2 linked regions of the Arabidopsis thaliana genome follow. The protein of the gene in region 2 binds, or shares a complex with, the protein of the main gene of each other region. Links are inferred from orthologs where the notes say so. Each region holds a gene or a part of one and is shown on either strand. Other genes may lie near its edges.

Region 1 (7,854 bases), on a different chromosome or scaffold from region 2:
CTGATAATAAAAATATTGAATATAGTTTTTTACTTTATTATAAAATATATAATTAAAAGTTAGAGATTTTGAATTAACATATTTAGTTTGATTCGAAATTTAAATTTACAAGATTTTGTACTAATGTTTTTAATTTCTTATTTTATAGAACTCAAATATTTGGAAAACAATACAAAAGGAACCAATTACCATAACTAAAGAACCACCAAAATTTTAAAAATTAATTTTGTTAGTTGATACAAAGGGAAACCAATATTGTCGTCTATGCATTTTTAGATTACGTTGTTGTCAACATTTGGATATAAATTTGTACGAATTTAGCTAAATTTCATATCTTTAAAGTTTAAACTCTCAAAAGATTTCAAAGATTTAGCTTTACAAGTGACAATTGGGCCCAAGTTAACAAACGTATCTGCCCTTGTGATGCAGTCACACGCTCCTTAGGAGTTAGGACTATTACTCTTGCATGCGATGATTTGGGCTTTAATACGGCTAGTTGGGCTTTGAGAATTCTCTTATCAGACTTTCTTCGAAGCCCGTCTCAATGTCTTCGTGAATTTTTCTTTTAATACTGGTAAAAGAAACTATACTAATATTTTAATGCACATGAAGATAATAATACTCCTTTGGACGGTATAATACCTGTATACGTGACTAATCAACGAATTAAATTTGAGCATTGTGGTGGCGAGATCTTGGATCATCTTCGCTTGGCCGCTTGGGCGGTGGTCGTCGGCATCGTCACTAATTAATTATTGTGATTAAGAAAAAATGCTAAATTGAGTTTCGTCGTCTTCTGCTTCTGCTTAAGCTTCTTCATCATTTAGCTCCAGAGGCGGAGCTTTCTTCTCTCTCTGTGGACGACCATGGCGGCGGACGACGGCGACCCCACTAAATTCGCTGCAATCTACGACTCATCCTCTCCGTCACACCCTCTTCTCTCTAAACCCTCCACGTCCGCTCTCGATTCTCCGCGTCGAAGTGATCCCGAATCCGACCCAACTCAGTTTCTTCAGATCTCCTACAATTTTGGCCCAAGAACTTTCAAGGACATCCCTTTCCTACTTCTCTTCGATCTTCTCGTACTCTCCACCTTTGGTTTTGGAATCTTCTCCATTTTTCATAGAAATAACGATTACGGGAACTCCTCTTCCTTCACCTACGATTTCACCTCTAGCTCCTGCGTCAAAAATTCTACCTTTACGAAAATTTCGGATGGGTACTACTGGGCTTCTTCGAGTGTCATGTACGGCATGGTTTCTTCGTCTGATCCAGTCTTTGAGAAGGATTTGATCTGGACACTTGTTGTAACGCTTATTTTAAGCGTGCCCTTCTGTTTTAGCGTCCTGCTTTTGCTCAAACACTACACTAAGCAGATTGTTTATGCTTGTTTACCTCTCTTTGTCCTTTTTCCCATCTTTTTCAATGTCTATTGGTTTGTCGCCTGTACTCTTAGCTCTTCTTGTAGCGATGCCCTCCCTCTAGCTTACAGAATACTTGTCCTAGTCTTTGTTTTCTTGATCATCGGGATCATTGTCTGGATCATAGTAGCTAATTGGCACAGAATTGATCTTACTATCCAAATCATCAGTGTTGCATCTGATGCCTTGTCCAAAAATTTGAAACTTTTTGTTGTGCTGCCGCTGCTGACTCTCGGGTTAGTGGTGTACTATGCGCCGATTGTGGTGTTCTTGGTGTTTGCAAGGTTTAATGGGAAGTTTGTGCCGCGAGAGTTGGATGGTCAGTACTTTTGTGAGTGGAAAGAAGATTCTTGGGTTCCTGCGTATTACGCTCTTGCCATTTTAACGATGATCTGGTCTCTTGCTGTAATGGTGGAAATGCAAGTGTATGTGATAAGTGGAGCTATTGCTCAGTGGTATTTCTCCAAGGAAGACTCAATCCCTAAAAAATGCATCCGGAGTTCTTTGAGGTGACTCGCTGCCACATCTTTCTCTATTTTATTCTTGTTATCAATGAATTTGCTGTGCAGTTTCTCTTACAATCAATGGTGCTCTTAGTTCTAATATATGTTTTGTGTGATCGCGGGAGTTTTTGCTTTGAGTTCTCTTAGTTTTGTTTCCTCATAAAATATAATCTATGGTCATTCGAAGTATCCCTTGCTTGGCTTCGTTCTGGAGTATTCAGTGATTCTAGGTCATGGTATTCATAGTCTTGGCCTTATAGATTGGATATTGTATTGGAATCCATCATCTGAACTTGTTTGGTACTTTAAATGTGAAAAGAGACAACAGACAGTGGTATTTTTGAAAGGAGATTATAGCTTTGAGGATCCAAATTTGCATTAGTCTTCAAATCTGTTGTTGGTTTATGTCAAAGCATGTGTGAATCTTATTATTTTTTGTATCTGTCTCTTCAGGAATGCATTTGGTCAATCCTTTGGTACGATATGTGTATCAGGACTTCTCATATGCATTGTTCGTGTGGTCCGGGCAATTGTGGACAATGCAAGAGAAGAGAACACACAAGGAATAGTGAACATGGTTCTCCGTTGCTGTGCAAACGCCTTACTTGGTGCCCTTGACTATCTCAACAAGTTCACCATCAACTTTGCTGCAATAACAGGGGAAGCGTATTGCACCTCTGCGAAAATGACTTACGAGCTGTTAAGACGCAACCTACTGTCAGCTGTATTTGTCGAAACGGTTTCCACCAGAATCCTAACCGGAATAGTCTTTGTCCTGTCAGCCGCATATGCAGTCGCGGTAAGTATTATCTTCTGCTTGTCTCACCAACCAAGCATTTAATAATTGCCATAATGACTAATTCCGGGGTTTGATGATGCGCAAAAGCAGACATGGGCTGTTCTGAGAGGAGTGAGCAACCTGGGTATAGATTCGTACGTGGTGGCTGTACTGGCGTGGGTGTTACTGATTGTGATATTGGCTTTCTTTGTACATGTTCTTGACGATGTGATTGACACAATCTATGTCTGTTACGCGATTGATAGAGACAAAGGGGATGTATGTAAGCAGGAAGTTCACGAGGTTTATGTTCACTTGCCTATCAGCAGAAGCACAAGATCTTCTCTCATCCCAAATGCTCTTAATGCATAGCAGAAGATGATCCAACGTCTCTGCTTGTTGTATCTTTTTTTGTTTGTTAGCACCGTTGTAAATTCCTCTCTGGTGAACTGTGGTTTGTCTTCTTGGGGTTTATATTGATGTTTTGTAGAGTTATGGGGTAACAATGTTGAATAAAAGAAAGACTTTAGTTATAGGAATTACTGTAATGTGGTCTGTGTTTCTTTTATTCATTAATAAATCAACTTTGTTTTGCTTTTTATCAAAAACAACCATTGGGGCTAAATTGAAATAAACGTAAAACATTAGGGTCTAAAAGGAGAAAGTAAAAAAGTAAAGGGGATATTTAAAGAAGAACAATGTTATTATTATCGGTCTAAACTAAAATCTAAATCTTGCCTTCCTGACTTTCTCTCTACGACAGAATTTTTGAAGCTTCTCTCTGCTTATCGACACGATGGTTCTCGAGGTGATTTTCCAATTACTTGTGCTTATCTTCGTTGATGATCCACGTTGAATGCTTTTTCTCATCGATGATTTCTTGTTGTAGGCGACTATGATATGTATCGACAACTCCGAGTGGATGCGAAACGGAGATTACTCTCCGTCTAGGTTACAGGCGCAAACGGAAGCTGTTAATCTTCTTTGCGGAGCCAAAACCCAGGTAATAATTTACGTTTTTTCACTTGATTCGATTAGGGTTTTTGGGTTTGCGTGAGATTGTGATTTTTAGGGATCTTTCTTTTTTGCAATTGCAGTCGAATCCGGAGAATACGGTGGGGATTTTGACAATGGCTGGCAAAGGAGTTAGAGTATTGACTACTCCTACCTCTGATCTTGGCAAAATTCTGGCCTGTATGCACGGTATGTATCTCTCTCTCCAATCTTTCTATTTATTATTAGCTGTCTACTTAGAGCAATTAGAAAAAATCTGTTCTTTCTCTTTATCATTGAGTTTGACATCAATTTGCTACTTGCGTCATCTTTTCAGGCCTTGATGTGGGAGGAGAGATCAACTTAACCGCAGCTATCCAGATCGCCCAGCTAGCTCTTAAGCATCGCCAAAACAAGAATCAACGCCAAAGGATTATTGTTTTTGCTGGAAGGTACCGAATTGCTTTGTTTTTGCTGAGTAACTTTTGTATAGTTTTATACTGATGTTTTTCTTCTGCTTCTACTTTTTAGTCCAATCAAGTACGAGAAGAAGGCCCTAGAGATAGTTGGAAAAAGGCTGAAGAAGAATAGTGTCTCTCTTGATATTGTCAATTTCGGGGAGGATGATGATGAGGAAAAGCCTCAGAAACTCGAGGCGCTCCTTACAGCTGTGAATAACAATGACGGTAGCCACATTGTTCATGTTCCTTCTGGAGCCAATGCTCTCTCAGATGTGCTTCTCAGGTACCATCCCTTTTCTTCTTTTTTTCTAGGTTATGTAGATTGTAAAAGGAACAGTTTCAACAATATCCGGCTTGGTAGGTGCACTTCATGTGGTTTTGTGTGTTTAGGTCTTTTGAGCTCTCTAGTCTTGCTTTTTATCAATGCTGCAACAAAACATTTAGACAGTGATTTGAATCATAGATAGTGTTTTAACTTTTAAATTTTCTTCCAGCACACCTGTATTCACGGGTGATGAGGGTGCAAGTGGCTATGTTTCTGCGGCAGCTGCTGCAGCGGCCGCAGGTGGGGACTTCGACTTTGGTGTGGACCCAAATATCGATCCAGAACTTGCTCTTGCCCTTCGGGTCTCCATGGAGGAGGAGAGAGCAAGACAAGAAGCTGCTGCCAAGAAGGCGGCCGATGAGGCAGGTCAGAAAGACAAAGATGGGGACACAGCTTCCGCCTCACAGGAGACAGTTGCTAGGACAACTGACAAGAACGCTGAACCAATGGTTAGTTGTTACTTAAAATTGAGTGTAGCATTCTTATATAGTCACAGGCGGAGAGATTGTTAATCATACAACCTTTTGTGGCAGGATGAGGACAGTGCGTTGCTAGATCAGGCAATTGCTATGTCTGTTGGTGATGTGAATATGTCAGAAGCGGCTGATGAGGACCAGGATCTGGCTTTAGGTAAGTAGAACAGTGTGGTAAAAGTATATCCATGGCAATCAAAATTGGCATTTTTCTTATATTTTTTTATACTCCATGTGCAGCTCTGCAAATGTCAATGAGTGGGGAAGAGTCAAGTGAAGCTACAGGTGCTGGAAACAACCTCTTGGGAAATCAAGCCTTCATATCGTCTGTTCTCTCATCGGTAAGCCTACATAAACCTTAGTCAGTTTTTTTCACAAGCAAAATGAAAGAGAAAAGTAGTAGGGTTAGCTTTGGTACTAAGACTTTGTGTACACGCAGCTTCCTGGGGTGGATCCAAATGATCCGGCAGTTAAAGAACTACTAGCGTCTCTGCCAGACGAGTCAAAGGTGTGTCTTTGTTGATGTTTATGATTACATCTTTTTGTTATTTGAAAAAGAAGATTCTGATAAATGTATATGGTTAAAATGACAGCGTACCGAGGAGGAAGAGAGTAGTAGCAAAAAAGGCGAGGATGAGAAGAAGTGAAGAAGGATCTGAGAGTCTCAATAAAAATTCCTCTTGTTTCTTTGGTTTGATAGAGATTGGAACTGAATTTAACTAATCTCTCTGCCTTGTGAAATTTGTTTTTTTCTCTCTCTCTCGCCTTTTTATAATGTTGTTATTGTACGAGTCAAGGACTAGCTTCCTTCTTAATTTTTATTGGACTTTATGTCAATGGGCTCTTAGAAAGTAAGCCTATTTGTTACAGGTCTCTCGATCAATTCAGTAGAATAGCGAGTCCTAAATTCGTAATGAACCTTGCACAAGTGTCAAATCTGAAATATTCTTACGACAGTGCAAAAAGTCTACATTGGTAATTAAATTTTGCTCACATTTCTGCGAAGTTATGTTTTTCTCCAAGTAATTAAAGTCCCACGTGGCAGTTAGGTACTTAATTCCTTTGTTCTACTGTTGGCTCGTTTTTTTGTTCTTTGCAATCTAATTTTTATATGCGCTTATTAGTCTGCTAATTGCAATCTATTTGCATTATTTAATTTATATTTATCCCAAGATATGTGTATTTGTCTGCTAATTGCCACATGCGAGCTGTAGTTTTGATCATCTACGTACGTGTAAACTATGCTACACAAACAAATTGAATTGCTAAATATGACTATCGTTAAAGACTTTTTATTGGGGAAACTTATTAGTGACGAAATTTCTTTGTTCCCTTTTAGAGCAAGAAAGGGAAAGACAAAAAGAGTCACAAGACTCACAAACTATAACATAAAAAAAAAGAAAGAAGAAAAACTGATAGAAGCTTCTATTGCATCTACCTAACACCTTTTGAAAAAGTCGTTTCTTTACAAATGAAAATGAATAATATTAGAAAGAAGAAGGAAGAGGAGGCAGGTGCGTCTGTCTTTGTTCACTTGTGTCTGTGTGTGTGGTCATCCTTTTGTCCTTTTCCCCTTTTTCCTTATCTTCAGTTCTCACCACTCCTCCTCTCCCATCTCTTTCATTTCCAAAATATCATCCTCCTCTATCAACTTCTACATGTTTTTTTTTGTTATTCCTTCACTTTCATAATATTTACCCAACCACTGTTAAATCTCGATGTTCGAAATTAATCAAACGTTCTCAACTTTATTTTAGACTTCAACTGATTTTGTTTTTTTTTCCAACTTTAAATTTGTTTCATTAGTTGATGCAACCTGAGAAAACTCTTATTGATTCCATTATTGTTGAGTTTGTATCTTCATCAGAATATGATATATATCAAGCCCCAGTGCTAGTGACAACAACTTGTCATTTGGTGATCATATAATTTCTCAAGTGATTATACCAGTTTTTGAGATCTTACCAATTTTTGGCCAAAACAAAAAAACAAACACACAACTGGAGTATATAACCATTTGATCAATTTTAAAACTAAATCTAAATATATACGAGGAAATAATATACTGCTCTATTGGGATTTGAGATGATAATTAATGTAGTAGCTAGAGAGGGTTTTTGTAGTGTTGAGGAGAGGATATCAACGAAGGAACATGTACAACACCGATTTTACCAAGCATCTTACGATAGAACAATGTTTAAGTTTACGAGTCGCTACTCTTTCTAAATTCAACCATGTGGCTACATTCAATGAAACTCCTATACATAATTTTTATATGCATGCATGCATAAATATATTATGTGGTATATGGATATACAGTATATGTATGTTATGCATTCATGTGTAATATGTATGTATGTATGTATGTATGTATGTATGTATGCAGATGTAGATCGCTTGCAAGTGGACAAAAGATGAGGAAAGGTTGGTATATAGGTTGGTAGGGAGATGGGTAGTGAGAAATAAATAGAGTTTGGTAGAAGAAAGGGTCCATTGGTTGTTGCTTCCTTTCCTTCATTTATGGTTTTCATTATTTTCTTTTTCTTTTTCACATATCTCTTTCTTTCCTTTTTTTATCTTAAAAACATTTAAGTTTTCTCCTACCTCCTTCTCTTACAACTTTTCTATTCCTGCCAAATTAACTACAAACCTCACTTTCCACTTGTCATGAAACATTTTCGATTTATCTTCTGTTTCACGTTCTTCTCCTAGATCTTTAATTATAGATCTTAACAAGGTATCATCTATACCAGTACAATCTAAGTATTATGTGATCAAGTATCTTTGCCATACTCGTAATCTTTTTTCTCCTTATTTGGCTTATCTCCAACATTGGATAACGAGTTATTTGGGCAACCAACCTAATCTTACCTCATAAACTGATAATCTTAATCGTATAC
Region 2 (8,027 bases):
CTATATATCTAACAAATCTAAGTCATAAAGTTTCTCTAAACCGAATTAAATCCAAAAATCTACTTATTTAGTTAGACTCGAGAGTAGGTAATGAGATATTCTGTAAGAAATTTGTAATTAAACAAAGATGTTATGTAAATTAACTGGGATGATTCCAAGTAACATAAGCCACGTGAACTTTGACTTTGACACCGAATTGATCAATTTTAAAAACAAGATGCAGTTTATATGCGAGAGAGACAAAGATATTTGTAAGTACTGTTATGTTGTCTAGTGAAGAGTACTTTGTTTATAAAAACAATGTTTGGTTTTATTCACATTGTCATTTTATTATTTGGACCATTTTCGTCTTGCTTAGCATCCCGTGCATGTCTCATCTAAATCCTCACTATTAAGACATTTTAACGCACACTACATGAATATTATAAGTTTTTCCTTTCTATTTCTGCTGGTGTCATACGTACTGTTCATATAGACATCAATAAGTTTCTTGTACAAACAACTAGACTATGCAAAATTATAAGAGCTGGATTGTATATTGTTAAAACTGAGGCATGTATGAGTTGTACGCTTAAAAGTGAAATATTTTTTCGGTCGCAGGTTATATACTAGAATGCAGTTAGATTTTAACTAAGAAATAAATTTTTGACCAAAGCATTTACAGTATAATGCATGATTTATGTTACTATTGCTGCTGTCTCATTTTCAGATTTCAAAAATCAGATCTAATTGACGTGATAGCATATAGAGGCTAGTAAAACACTATGAGTTTATACTTTTATTGATGGTTAAAATTATTTTTACATCTTGCAGTCATCTTTCAACCATTCTTCATTCTAGAAGGAGTTCTTGGTGACTTAATAAATGGCTTTTTACAAATATTTTGGTGTAGGACTTATATTATACATGTGTGTGGCGAACCTTCTGGTTCTATCTATTAAATGCCTTTTCTTTTTGTAGTTTTTTATGATTCAGAATTCAGATATTTGATTTTGTAATATTATATTTTCTTATAAAAGAGAATAAAATTTCAAATTTCCTGTCTACACTTGCCGACCAACGTTCCTCAAGTGTCACATCTTCTGTGCAAGAGAGACAAAACTACAATCTGTTCACACAATGTCATGATGTTTATAATTAATCTTATCATCTTCATTCATATCAAACTAATATCGGCCATCCATCCGTCTCAATAATGTAATTGCATACAATCTTTGTTTAGGACTTGCTAGCTATTTCAACTTATTATTGATTACAGATTAGATCTACAATTTGTAAAGAACTTCTAACTTCAAAACAAATACAAAAAAAAGAAAGTGAATGTAAAATTTCTAGTGTCATAATTTGGAATAGTTGAAGCATTGAAGTTACAATATCGAACGTTAAAATATTGACACTAGATAGTACATTACCACCAAGGCTTTCTGATTATTCTTATCATGTTATATGAATAGTAAGAAATTACGTAGAACGCAATTTAAGTGTGTGCGAGTCACCACAAATTAAAGGAGAACAAATTCAATGTTTCAATCGCTGGTTCCGATATACAACTTATGCATGCCATGGCATGAATGCGAGATCCAATTATATACTAATATATACACACAAAAACATATGTAAATATAGATGGAACAGAAGCCTAGATAGGTTAGGATAAAGAAAACGATCAAATCTGCAAAGATCAGTCTCTCCCAAATCCCCAAAAAAAACAAAGCATGCATTTCGTAATAAACAACTCATCATAAAACGACACATAACTCGAAAACCTCTCCTCCCGACATTTCATCAATTCATTTCTCTTTTTATTTTCGAAAAGATGAAAACTTAATAAATTATTATGAACAATCTTACTATATATATGGATATATACACAGGCCCTAAAACGTAAAACAGTTGAGGACTTTACATCTGAACATGTCTTTCTCCGTGAAAGGTCGAAGCTTACGTGGCAACAATAACGGAGGAACGGGGACGAAGTGCGGGAGATGGAATCCAACGGTGGAGCAGTTGAAGATATTGACTGATCTGTTTCGAGCCGGTCTTAGAACTCCAACAACTGATCAGATTCAGAAGATCTCTACGGAGCTCAGTTTCTACGGCAAGATAGAGAGCAAGAATGTTTTCTATTGGTTTCAGAATCATAAGGCTAGGGAGAGGCAGAAACGTCGTAAAATCTCCATTGATTTTGATCATCATCATCATCAACCATCAACTAGAGGTAGTCTCTTTATATATATATATATATATATATATATATATAATTATATATCATTATTGTTTTATATGATATTTCTATATATTTAATGGATAATAGTGTGTTATTATAGATGTTTTTGAAATAAGCGAAGAAGATTGTCAAGAGGAAGAGAAGGTGATAGAGACATTACAACTCTTTCCGGTGAATTCATTTGAAGACTCCAACTCCAAGGTGGACAAAATGAGAGCTAGAGGCAATAACCAGTACCGTGAATATATTCGAGAGACCACCACGACGTCGTTTTCTCCATACTCATCATGTGGAGCTGAAATGGAACATCCACCGCCATTAGATCTTCGATTAAGCTTTCTTTAAGTCATTGACCACAATAACAAAAGAAAAAAAACAGATGCTTTAGCCTTTAAAATGTTGTTGTATTTTGAATTATGACATATTATCCGATGCATGGTTTATGAGATATTTTCCAATGCATGGTTTATCAAAAAGTTGTCTCATTTTGTTTGATATAAGAATCTATGTTATGGAATGCGTATATGTATATCATCATATAACTAAGGTTGTGATTTGTTAATGTATTTTTCTATATTTTTTAAAAATAATTTAAGAAAGACATCATTAACGAATAGTTCTATTTGCATCACAGAAATACTAGAAATATCAGATAAACTTAAAACTTAAAAGATGTTAAAAAAACAAACTTAAAACTTATCTCTATCAATTTACAAAATTTACATCATCTCGAAATACTTAAGTCTTGATCAACAACCATTAGACCAAAAAACTTGCACAATCTTATCAGAATAAAACCAACTCTTTTAAACGAACAGATTAATATCCTTAATATTATTTTACCCAGACCCATTGTCTTTTAGGCCCATATAATTGGGCTTTATAATACAGAGAAGGCCCAAACTTTGGTTAAACCCATAGTGCCTAGAGAAGATTAATTAAAGGGGTTTTCCTGGAGAAGAAGCAAACTCAAGTTCCGTCGGAGATAAAACGGAATCAAAAGTTGAGGTTTTGATCATTCCCGGAGAAAGAAATTTAGAATTACTCAAGCGAATTTGATTAACCCAACAATGGATGTTATAAAGACGCAACAAATATCGGCAAGGACAATCGAGAAAGTGATCGTTCACCCACTTGTCTTGCTTAGTATCGTCGACCATTACAATCGTGTAGCCAAGGACACGAGCAAGCGCGTCGTCGGCGTTTTGCTCGGAAGTAGCTCTCGTGGTACTGTTGACGTCACCAACAGCTACGCAGGTGCCTTGATTTTACTTTTTCCTTTCTCTTTGTTCTCTTCGATCTCACAGATCTCTGAAAGTTTGTTAAGCTCTTGCTAATCTCATAATTCAATATGTTTAGTGTTCTTGTCTGAAAATTTACTTAAGTTTAGTTTTTTTTAGCTTTTGGGTTGCAAAATTGTCTTACTTTTAAAATCGTTGTGTGATACTTGGATTCAGTCAAACTTGGTCCTAGTGGCCTAATTCCATATTGGAGTGATGAGTATAATATGGTGGTTGAGTTAATTTCTTAGAGAATGAAACAGATTTCATTTGATTTTGCACAGTACATTACACTGTGAGCATGTTCATAAGTGCGTTGTTGTTACTTGCACATCACTTGTTTGACTTTTTGTTTGTGGTTTTACAGTGCCTTTTGAGGAGGATGACAAAGACACAAGCATATGGTTTCTTGATCACAACTACCACGAGTCGATGTTTCACATGTTCAAGAGAATTAATGGTATTGCTCGGGAAATATAATGCTTAAGAGTATATATGTGGAAAGCCTCTTTTTTGACTGATTTTCATATTTGCTTTCAGCTAAGGAGCATATTGTGGGTTGGTACAGCACAGGTCCTAAACTTCGAGAGAATGATTTGGATGTTCACGCTTTATTCAATGGGTAAGACCAAAATCAGTCTAAAATATGAGATATGATGGTCTAATCTAATATATGGTTTGGTGGTCTGTTTAAGTTATATATGTACAAACGTTTTAAAGCATTCACAATCTATCTCTCCTCTCTTGCTAGACCTTATTTCTGTATTACTTCGGTTTTAATCTTAGTTTCTGGTGTTGCAGCTACGTTCCAAATCCAGTGTTGGTCATTATTGATGTCCAACCTAAAGAACTTGGAATCCCCACAAAAGCATACTATGCGGTTGAGGAGGTGAAAGAGGTAAATACCAGCCAATTTTCTAACCATTTTACTTGCTCGACTGTTAAGTTGCATCTGACATACTTGATTTACTTTCTGCATTAGTTATATCCATATATCTAATTGCCTTGATCCGAACTTCTCTCTCTGCAGAATGCTACCCAGAAAAGCCAACAGGTTTTTGTACACGTGCCTACAGAAATTGCAGCTCATGAAGTTGAGGAAATTGGTATGTCTACATGGGGAAACAAATCCTTTGATAGTTTGATTTCCTTATTTCAGAGCATAAGAATGATGAGGGAATTTTTTTTTTTGTAAATGCTTCCGAGGAAACTCAATGGAGTCCTTCTTGCTTCGCTTACGCCAGTTGGTTGGTCTTGAACAGGTGTGGAACATTTGCTCAGGGATGTAAAAGACACAACCATCAGTACCTTGGCAACTGAGGTTATTTTCTTCACACATAACTTAAACATTTCATCATCAAGCTTCTTAATGTTTATTCAAATCATGATTGTTGCTCTCAAAACAAAATGTGAGGAACATATATTGAGGAAACTGAAATTATTTGTGAACTGTATTTCAGGTCACTGCGAAACTTACTGCTCTGAAGGGATTGGATGCACGACTTCGGGAGATCCGGACTTACCTTGACCTTGTAATCGAAGGAAAACTCCCATTAAACCATGAAATCTTATACCATCTTCAGGTAACACTTTTAATTGTAGTTGACTAGTAGAATCAAACTGGTTTTCGTGTTTGTTTTTTTCTCAGTATCCGTGACTGCTAGTAAGGATTATTCAGCTAAATTGAATACTCTTTTGCAAATCTGTAGGACGTATTCAACTTGCTTCCTAACTTGAACGTCAACGAGTTGGTTAAAGCCTTTGCAGGTTTGCTTTTTCTTCCTTGAAGTTTTATGTTCGCACAGGGTTTCTCTCATTTGAACTCTTTTTTTTTTCCTAACTTTATTCATTTTGTACAGTAAAAACAAATGACATGATGCTCGTAATCTACCTTTCTTCGCTTATCCGAAGTGTAATCGCCCTCCACAGTTTGATCAACAACAAGGTAAGATAGACCATCATCTCTCTATTTCTCTCTAGTAGGTGATTGATTTGAATTTGCTCTATGCAAAATTTGTTTTGTTAATCTGTGGATGCTATGTTTCAGTTGTTGAATAAGGAACATGAAAAAGCAGAGGACTCAAAGCCTGTTGACATACCCTTAATCACTGAGAGTTAAATGCAGCCAAATTTCGAGCTTTGGGAAGATATTTAATCGGATGTTACTCTGTCATTTGCTGCATGTGAAGAGGGTCTGTAGGGGAACAAAACGGGTTTGGTCTCGTTCCGATGATCTTCTATTACTGTTGTTTCTACAATGGTTGTTATTAGTATGTCGTTTCTGTCTCCAAAGATTCTTTTTTCATCGATTTTTATTTCTAGTTTCCCTAATTCTGATCTTCAAGGCAATCAAGTCATAGAAGATAACACTTACCATAGTTTAAAATTTAGAAAATCACTAAATTAGATTCGTATACATCGGATGTGTAGAGATCTAGTCCGGGGTTATAAAAATGTTATCAAAACAAAGTGTGTGAACGTGTGTTCACATTGATAGAGGAATAAAGGAAGAAGATTTTGTCATGAAAATTGAAAACTAGAAAAATAAAAGATATATTGAAGGGCCGCCAAAAAAAATAAAGAGGTGTTGAAGGCAAATAAAGGTCACACTAGTGGCGTAAGCTTCGTGAAAAGGATATGATGATAAGCGGAAATTTTGAAATTATGAAATCATGAACGTGCTTTGTTACGCATTATGCTTTTAAGCCTACTTTCGAAGAACATTTTCTTTCTTCTTGATAACAAAATGAACAAAGATTATAAATTAAGTTTTGTCGTTTACATAAAATATGTTCATGATTAGGAAGGATTTAGCCTTAAGTCGCAAAGCTTCTCGACGTTTCTCCTTCTTATTTTATTGTTCAATCTTCTTTATGATGTTTGTACTCACGGTATATGTCGGTATCGTAATAATACATGCAACTTTTGATGATGAATTATTTGACATATTTAAATACATCAGTTTTACAAAGAATTATCACAATTATCATTTTATAATTGTTATTCAACAATTTTCTAGAATATGTCCTTATAACTTTGCTATGGAAAAGATGTAACAATTGTACGTAATTTCACTTTAAATTTTGCATCCTGTTGTTCTCAAAGTTATCAGCATCGCAAATCTTAGTCATAAAATAGTGTATACTGTATAGTATATAGTAATGCACGTATGACGTAAGAACATTGAATGTTTTTTGATATTGGTACATCAGTGTAAGGCATGTAGATCCCATCGAAGCGACCAGATCGAAAGTGACAAAATAACAAAAGGGTGGCAAAAGAAATAAAGCCATAAAGTTGCAAGAAAGGAAAAACTACTTTGTTTTCTTTATCCGAAATAGGACTCGCAAATTGCAGTAGCATATGTCACAATTGATGATCAAGATTCATCTAATACATATAGAATAAGATATGGAAATCTATTAAATCCGATTTCTTTGAATATGAACTATGATAAAACTATTGCTTGATTAAGTGTAGCCTTTGGTCCAACTTTGCATATGAACTGTGATAAATAATATTTCAAAGTTGTTTCAATATAAATTTATCAAAGTTATTTCAAGTTGCATAATTCAAATGTGAGCAGTGTTTAGATTGGGGCACCAAATGATTAAAAAATAAAATAAACATTTCATTCATATATGTTTTTTATACAAATGACACCATTATACGTAATTCTAAATACGTTAATATATATATGAGTCAGGAGGTTGGTGTAATAGATGAGAAGAATGAGGTTCTTTGGTCAGAAGTGGAAAGCAGACTCAGCCTCTATTTTATACTCAAATCAATTCTTCATACCTTCCACCAAAACTTTACTCAATATTTAAAACTATACTATAGCCATCTTCTTAAATAAATCTAACCCAAAACATGTTTCACAAATTTCTCATTTTTGTGTGGTGTTTGATCTCTTTGAGTCTTTTTTTTTTTTTTAATCTCTTTAAGTCTTTATTACAGTATATCTTTATAATTTGCATTTAACACCATAAAATAGATATATTGTGGTAAATTGTTAGGGTTATCAACTTGTCATAAAGCACAAGTACTCTTTTTCACAACTATAAGTCTATAATTTAATCGAAAAGAAAACACAGATTTTTTTTAACATAACAGGTATTTAGTAGACAGAAACACAAAAATACAGAGTAAAAACAAGTTCTTACTTTTAAACCACACAATACATATATAATAAACTTGGTTTTGCTTATATTTCTCTAATTACAGTTTCAAAACTCAGATTCTTAAGAACGCTGAGTTTGGGGATTCTATGTTGCCTTAAGCTCCGGCACTGAAGACATTTTCTCCGGCGAAGTTAATGGCAGCTTCGAATGAAGTTGGTGATGGAGAAAACAGATTTTCTGAAGAGAGATTCTGACCCATAAATATTACTCCCTCCTCCGTATCATCCTTATCGATAAACCCTAAATCAGGGAGAATATCTCTATGATCGGAAAAGGAACGGTTGAGATTGGCATTGAGAAGATTGCCGGTTGTGATGTCATGGATACTTGGCCTGC

The links.
Region 1: the proteins of MEE34 (region 2) and RPN10 are in contact, whole or in part, in a cryo-EM structure (PDB 8AMZ), measured with the Spinacia oleracea proteins. The link is inferred for Arabidopsis thaliana from one-to-one orthologs. Residues at the interface, in XP_056695798.1 of Spinacia oleracea: Pro65, Trp76, Phe77, Leu78, Asp79, His80, Asn81, Tyr82; in XP_021862213.1 of Spinacia oleracea: Pro65, Thr66, Ser67, Lys99, His100, Arg101, Gln102.

What each region holds. Positions count from the first base shown.
Region 1 is NC_003075.7:18,055,104-18,062,957, reverse strand, and holds RPN10 (regulatory particle non-ATPase 10), read left to right. Parts: upstream 1-3,359; 5' UTR 3,360-3,498; coding exon 3,499-3,510; intron 3,511-3,591; coding exon 3,592-3,705; intron 3,706-3,799; coding exon 3,800-3,905; intron 3,906-4,032; coding exon 4,033-4,147; intron 4,148-4,226; coding exon 4,227-4,439; intron 4,440-4,650; coding exon 4,651-4,930; intron 4,931-5,014; coding exon 5,015-5,111; intron 5,112-5,194; coding exon 5,195-5,295; intron 5,296-5,393; coding exon 5,394-5,462; intron 5,463-5,547; coding exon 5,548-5,601; 3' UTR 5,602-5,970; downstream 5,971-7,854. Other genes in the region: AT4G38640 (Plasma-membrane choline transporter family protein), read left to right, coding at 867-1,930, 2,378-2,723, 2,814-3,074. UniProt on the Arabidopsis thaliana protein: Plays a role in maintaining the structural integrity of the 19S regulatory particle (RP), subcomplex of the 26S proteasome.
Region 2 is NC_003074.8:3,525,692-3,533,718, forward strand, and holds MEE34 (Mov34/MPN/PAD-1 family protein), read left to right. Parts: upstream 1-3,130; 5' UTR 3,131-3,297; coding exon 3,298-3,484; intron 3,485-3,874; coding exon 3,875-3,967; intron 3,968-4,047; coding exon 4,048-4,129; intron 4,130-4,308; coding exon 4,309-4,405; intron 4,406-4,537; coding exon 4,538-4,613; intron 4,614-4,769; coding exon 4,770-4,828; intron 4,829-4,967; coding exon 4,968-5,090; intron 5,091-5,216; coding exon 5,217-5,274; intron 5,275-5,366; coding exon 5,367-5,452; intron 5,453-5,554; coding exon 5,555-5,626; 3' UTR 5,627-6,033; downstream 6,034-8,027. Other genes in the region: WOX5 (WUSCHEL related homeobox 5), read left to right, coding at 1,915-2,218, 2,328-2,572; AT3G11280 (Duplicated homeodomain-like superfamily protein), read right to left, coding at 7,786-8,027. UniProt on the Arabidopsis thaliana protein: Acts as a regulatory subunit of the 26S proteasome which is involved in the ATP-dependent degradation of ubiquitinated proteins.